2 linked regions of the Callithrix jacchus genome follow. The main gene of each other region encodes a partner of the protein of the gene in region 2 in a complex. Links are inferred from orthologs where the notes say so. Each region holds a gene or a part of one and is shown on either strand. Other genes may lie near its edges. The genes, in order: WDR82 and TOX4.

Region 1 (3,528 bases), on a different chromosome or scaffold from region 2:
GCAGTGACAGCTAACAAAGCTGAGTTCCAATTGAGTCTGTTGCACCAACAGTCCTTTTGAAGACGATCAGCAAAGTAATTATTTCCTTTTGAGCAGATGTACAGCACATTGATGGGAAGGCCATGTGAAAGGATGTTCTCCAGCCCAGTCAAATGATCCAATCCCACTACTATCTCAGTCCCCTCTGAGTTTCTTCCTGCTGGCCGCCCTCACTGTACAGAAATAGCCGAGCAGCCTCAGGGTCAGTCATCAATGGTGGGCAACCAGAAGGCCTAGAAGAAGAACATAAATCAACTTTAAAAAAAAGCCAGGCATCTCCTCACTACCAAGGGTTCTTCACATCCCACCCCACAGCAAAAATGTGCCCAATCCCAATGGCTCTGGTGGCCCTCCCTCCTGACCAACAACTCTGATAATGTCTCATCACCGAATGCCCAGGCAGGTTTAGGAGATCACAGGGAAAACTGGAGCTGAGACTCACTGATCCTTTGTTCTGTTAGTTATTATCTAGGAAGATACAAGGGCCTGCAGTTAATTCTAAGTGTGAGTTATGACCAACTATAGAAAGTTCTGGGAATTTGGCGTAAACCAAGAGGAATGGAAAACTCAAAGCACAAAAGGCTGATTCAGAGTATTTTAAGGAGCAAAAAAGTTGCCAAGTGTAGCCCAGGTAGTCTGGACCTAAAATTAGGGTCCAGAGCAAAAATTGGCCTATGATCTCCTTGGAGCTCAAAGGTGATTCCAGATCACCTCTAGGAAGAAGAAAAATGAAAGACAAGACCAGCCCAGCCAGAGATCAAATAATAGGAGGTCAAACAGGGAAACCACCAGTTGAGAAACATGAACTTGGATGGCTGTAACGTACCGACGTAGAACACAGCTTGCTGTGCTCGTTGAGGCACCCACTACCCCAACTGGAAAGAGTCCCTGGATGGCAGACGCCTCTTACTGTTCACATACCATGTTGGAACACGCGCTGGCAAAAGTCATGAACTTGGGGTTGAATTGCAAACAGGTAATTGGGCCTGTGTGTTTACCATCCAACACAGCTACTTTTATACCACTCTCTCCATTCCAGACATGGATCTTGCCATCCTCTGAACCTAAAGAGAATATTGAAGGAAAATGTAACAGTTCAAGGCACAATACAAAGACAACTGGAAATGAGACATGGATTGAGGTCTGAGGACAGGCCAAACTTTAGGACCCATTCCTGAGGCAAAACTGAGAGGGAGGAGAGGCAGTGAAGGGAGGACACTTTGAAAATTGATCTTGACTCTGGCTATTTGTTCACAGGCATGTCACTTCCCCTTTAACTTCAGTTTTCTCATCTAAAAAAGGAGCTGAATACCATTACTCTACCAACAGGCACCCACTAAGATGACTGAATGTAGGGTTGCACCAGGACATTAGTATTACTAATAAGGTAGTGCTAACAGAGTTTAACTCAAATGTTGGTCCAGAGAAGACCAACATCAATGTCTTTTAACTGCCCTGACTTTGGAGTTCTGTACAGAGAACATCTGCCAGTTCTCTGTACAGAACTCCAAAGTCAGGGCAGTTAAAAGACATTATGTCCTTGGCATAATGTGCTATACAGAAATCTGAGAACATCTATCAGAAAATAATAATGTCTCAATTAGTTAATAATTTAAACAAAGAAATGCATATAGTACCAGAGAAATAACCCCCACAGGGGATAAAGGAAACTCACCAATCATAATAAACTGAGAGTCTGGAGTAAATGAAGCCTCCAGTGTGACAGCTTTGCTGTTGGCATAACCCTTAAACAAAACAGAGCAGTTCTTTTGTTGTTACAGGGCCATCAATAAAAACAGCTGCCTACAAATACTGACTCAGCACATGCATCACATTCCTTTCTGTGAAACCCTTTCCTTGTCATGTACTAAGCACCAAGCTTCCAAATGTGGTTGTCATCCTTTACAATCCACTCCCACCCTCAACTCTGTATTCAGGTGTACTCAAGGGGGCAAGAAAACTTTACTGTTAGGAAATTATTTTATATCTAAATACCAAACTTGGGTCCCCTGGTGAGAAATGAACGTCTACAGAATCCAAGGGAAGTAAGTTCATGATCAGGAAGAAAATGCAAGTGCATGCCTCCAACAGTAAGTCAAGAGTAACTACTGGTCTCTACCAACCAGCTAACATAATTCGTAGCACAGGAATATGAGCAAGAAAACAGCCATGCTCGAAGGCTGTCAGCTCACCCCAAACGTGTGCATCACCACTCCTTTGAATGCATCAATGAGACGAATGAAGCTGCCATTGGTAGAAATGAGGATGAGCTTGCCATCATTGCTGAATTTAAGTCCTGTCCACTCACAAGTTCGATCATACTGCATCTTAAAGGTGGCAAATGGCCCCTGCAAAAGATAAAAAATAGTAGCCCCAGGCCCAAGGCATATTAATTATTTCTTCTGCCCAAGCCAACTCCCATCCTATTCCTTTAGATTCCTGTTTGACTAAGGAAAGCAGAGAATGAGCTACTTCTCTGACACTCTCTAACATCTACCATATTTTTTCTTTCATAGAAAAGGCTCTTACAGGGCCAGGTGCGGTGGCTTATGCCTGTAATCCCAGCACTTTGGGAGGCTGAGGTGGGTGGATCACATGAGCTGAGGAGTTAGAGACCAGCCTGACCAACATGGTGAAACCTCATCTCTGCTAAATATAAAAATTAGCCAGGCGTGGTGGCACATGCCTGTAATCCCAGCTACTTGGGAGGCTGGGGCAGGAGAATCACTTGAACCCGGGAGATGGAGGTTGCAGTGAGCTGAGATCACACCACTGCACTCCAGCCTGGGCAACAAGAGCAAAACTCTGCCTAAAAAAGAAAAGGCTCTTACATGTCTACCTCACCCTTAAAACTTCCATAATATTAAGATAGCTCAAAGATTCAAAGATTTACCTTATCAAAAGAACGAAGGTCATAAAGTTTGACCATTTCAGAGTTGACACCTGCAGCGAAAATTAACCCTTCTGGATCAAAAGAACAAACTGGTTTCCCCTGCAGATGCATGAGGCCCTAAGAGAAAAGAAGTAAGAAACACACTAAAACACAGATACCACAACCATACCTAGAACAAATCGAAGACTGCTAATTTAATGGGGGGAAAAAAAGGAATCCAGAACCTTACCACTATATAATTTACTTTTCCCAATGAAAACTAAGAAAGGCATACGAACACATATCAGCCTACCTACAGAATAGAAAAAGCAAACATAGAGCTAAAATGAAACTTTTATAAAACAAGTCTCCAGACAACAATTTCTGAACACCCCTATCTACACAACATTACAGACACAGAGTTCAAATAAAAATAAATCCCTTGAAGCCAAAAGTTCTAGGAACACTTTTGAAAACATTAAGCCAGCTGGGCATGGTACTGGCTCACGCCTGTAACCACAGCACATTGCATGTGTTTGTCGGGGCGGGAGGGGGTGGGGGGGTGAGGCAGGCAGATCACCTGAGGTTGGGAGTTCGAGATCAGTCTGACCAACATG
Region 2 (3,511 bases):
ATTATTTTATCTTTCACCCCGTTAATAGAGCTTAAAACACATGCTGCTAGCATTTTGCTTATCCAAAGAATACTCCCTGGTGCAGCAACTCTGTCCTGACTAAGCATTAGTTACTAACCATCCAATAATACAGATCCAGTCTTTTTTTTTTTTGAGAGATGGAGTCTTGCTTTGTTGGCCCAGGCTGGAGTGCAGTGATGAGATCTTGGCTAACTGCAACCTCTTCCTCTGGGTTCAAGTGATTCTCCTGCCTCAGCCACCTGAGTAGCTGGGATTATAGGTGTGCACTACTGTGCCCAGCTAATGTTTTGTATTTTTAGTAGAGACGGGGTTTCACCATGTTGGCCAGGCTGGTCTTGAACTCCTGACTTCAAGTGATAGGCCCACCTCAGCATCCCAGAGTGCTGGGATTATAGGCATGAGCCACCATGCCCAGCTCAGATCCAGTCTATTTTAACACCAGAATCGATGTCAATTCTGAACTACTCATTCTACCATATACTATTGTAATGTTAAGCTCTTTATAGAAGAATTGGTATATTTGATATGATAGGCAGTCTTCATTTGGTATGCATCTTTTAACAATATTAACTAATTCCAGGATTTCTGGTTTGCCCCTCCTTTTCCCATTTCAGGATCACCCTTGGAAACCAACTGGATGGGATCCACCTACTAGACCCAGATGTGGTTGCACGGTTCAAGCAAAGGTACCCAGATGGTATCATCTCTAAACCTAAGAATTTATAGAAGCACTTCCTTATACAGCTAAGAATCCATAGTGATGGCTGTGTAAACCAAACCTCAAGAGTGGTATTTGTACAATAGCTTTCTTCTTTATTTAAATAAACATTTGTATTGTAGATGAGATTTTGAAGTCCATTCTGGCTCTGCCACTCATCAGTGTGTACTCTTGTGCAACTCATCTCTCAGTAGTATTTCTTATATTTAAAATGGGAGTATTACCTCACTGGGTTGCTGTGAGTGTTCAAACAAAACAAGTGCATGGGAAACATTAAAATGATCATAGGCTAGGCGCAGTGGCTCACACGTGTAATCCCAGCACTTTGGGAAGCTGAAGTGGAGGGTCCCTGGAGCCCAGGAGTTCTAAGACCAGCCTGGGCAACATAGTGAGACCCCATCTCTACTCCCAGCCTCTAAAACCATTAAAAACACAGGAATGCACAGGATCAAACTAATTAGTAATAAATATATACATGGTTCGTTGAGGAGGAGGTTCTCTAGGACAGCATTTCTCAAAAGTAAAAATTTGAGTTCCATTTAAGGTTATCACTTACTCTCTCACAAGTAGGTGGCTTCTCTAGTCTGTTTTTCTTTAGATTGTTTCCAATAAATAATGGTAGATCTATGGTTTCTTAAAGATATTTCTTAAGGATGTAGAGTTCTACCTCTTAGATTCATAAACTGTGATAACTCAGGTAAGGATGGTAACTACAGAAATAACATTTGTAAAGAGTAGTAAGAACCTCCTGGGTGATATCATTTTCCATGTAGCCCAATATGCCTGTATTAAAGTTTTGTTCTCAAAGCAGTGTACTGATGTGATAATGGGGAATAACAATTTTTTTTAAGAGGAAACCTTTACTGTAATTTCTTACCCCTTTTAAAATGGATGAACACAGTGGCGTTTTCTCCTAGGCTCAAAGCTGAGTACTCTCCCATCATTTTAATAATATTTTAGGCAAGTCCTATGACAATTATACCAACAAGTTTCTTCAACCCCACCACCACCCCTTACCATCTCTATGTTTTGCTTGCCCATACTCCCTTCACCCATTCCTCTGCTATTACCACTAGTATTTTTGCTTCTAGTTGAAAGCAAAAAGCATCTCCAGATTACAGCAAATTCAGTGGCCCTGCTCCATAGCGTGGCCTCTGCTGAAGGGAGAAAAGTGGAGAAACATGAACAGCCATCATGGGTTGCGATCAGGCACTACTAGAAGCCCAGCTTGTGTTTCAAAAACAGGCTCTTGGACATGTTCCCAGCAGGTAACTCTTCACTGGCTTGGAGAACAGGAAGGACTATTTCACAAACACCACTGTGTTTGAATTCCTAGAGGCTACCCAGGCCAAGAATACATCCCTAAGAGAGAAAAAGACATACACAAACAGAATTATACACAAACAGAATTATAGCCTAGATATATTCTTTTTATCTGTCTTAAACAATTAGGTTCCCAAATAATTTTCTGCAGCATCATAGTGACATAGTGTCACATCAGAAATATAAGAATTGTCAGTAGAGGGAATGCTGATTTACTGTAGAGTTTTTGAAATAGGAAATAGAAATGCCTTGTCCTATAGCTATAGGTAATTCCCAGGAGAATCTGGGGAGAGGGGTAAAATCTTATGAACTTCTCCAATTTCCCTCACAAATAGCAAATTACTGTGTGCTACTATTCCACTTACCATTTCCCCAAATTCTAATTCCCTAAATAGTCTGATTTGCACTAAGGATTCAAAAGCTAGTATTTGTATACACTAACAGATTAATGTATTATCATATTTTGTTTTGTAAAACGGGGTCACCATGTTGGTCAGGCTGGTCTTGAACTCCCAACCTCAGGTGATCCACTTGCCTTGGCCTCCAAAGTGCTTGGATTACAGACGTGAGCCACCACAGCTGGCCTATTATAATGTTTTTTTTTTTTTGAGACGGAGTTTCGCTGTTGTTACCCAGACTGGAGTGCAATGGCACGATCTCAGCTCACAGCAACCTCCGCCTTCTGGGTTCCAGCAATTCTCCTGCCTCAGCCTTCCGAGTAGCTGGGACTACAGGCACGCACCACCATGCCCAGCTAATTTTTGTATTTTTAGCAGAGACAGGGTTTCACCTCGTTGACCAGGATGGTCTCGATCTCTTTACCTCGTGATCCACCCGCCTCGGCCTCCCATAGTGCTGGGATTATAGGCGTGAGCCACCGTGCCCGGCCTATCCTGTTTTTAAAGGGCATACATAGGTATGTGGTAACTGAAAAATGTGAACTGCTGATCATGTCACCTTTGCCTATGTGGCAAATGTAAGGTCTTAAGCAGGGGAGCTTTTCTAGTAGACCAGATAAACAGCAACCTACTCTATTTTATGCTCAAGATTACCATGTTTCCCAATAAAATTAATTTAGCAGTTCTGAATTACAAGAAGGGGAAGGGTAAGCTCACCTGCAGTGCTTCACCACACACTCATTGCTGCAGTATTCATTGTCCCAGTCCTTACTCACAATTGGAGGGTTCTCACAACCAGACCTCACACATCGAGGCTGTGGTGAGAGTGCCACAGGAGACCCACTCACCAATTCAACATCCATCTGAGAAGGAGACTCAACCTACGAGAGGAAGAGAGCATCAAGGTGGATTAGATTGCTCCCTGCCTAGCTAGCTAGTTAAATTATCTGTAGAAACCAATGAAACAACAGGTATTACAAGTCCTCACAGTGGGGGTAAAACTGCAGAAGGTGAGTTTTTGGTCTCCCCCTCAATAGTCCCACTTCAGAAC

Evidence for each region.
Region 1: TOX4 (region 2) and WDR82 share a complex: the UniProt entries of both Homo sapiens proteins name them as parts of the PNUTS-PP1 phosphatase complex. The link is inferred for Callithrix jacchus from reciprocal best matches to the Homo sapiens genes TOX4 and WDR82.

The regions. Positions count from the first base shown.
Region 1 is NC_133516.1:34,784,539-34,788,066, forward strand, and holds part of WDR82 (WD repeat-containing protein 82), read right to left. Parts: intron 3,050-3,528; coding exon 2,933-3,049; intron 2,388-2,932; coding exon 2,232-2,387; intron 1,785-2,231; coding exon 1,715-1,784; intron 1,104-1,714; coding exon 961-1,103; intron 273-960; coding exon 243-272; 3' UTR 1-242. UniProt on the Homo sapiens protein: Regulatory component of the SET1/COMPASS complex implicated in the tethering of this complex to transcriptional start sites of active genes.
Region 2 is NC_133509.1:55,997,323-56,000,833, reverse strand, and holds the end of TOX4 (TOX high mobility group box family member 4), read right to left. Parts: intron 3,342-3,511; coding exon 3,178-3,341; intron 2,102-3,177; coding exon 2,041-2,101; 3' UTR 814-2,040; downstream 1-813. Other genes in the region: N(6)-adenosine-methyltransferase catalytic subunit METTL3, read left to right, coding at 636-747. UniProt on the Homo sapiens protein: Transcription factor that modulates cell fate reprogramming from the somatic state to the pluripotent and neuronal fate. In liver, controls the expression of hormone-regulated gluconeogenic genes such as G6PC1 and PCK1.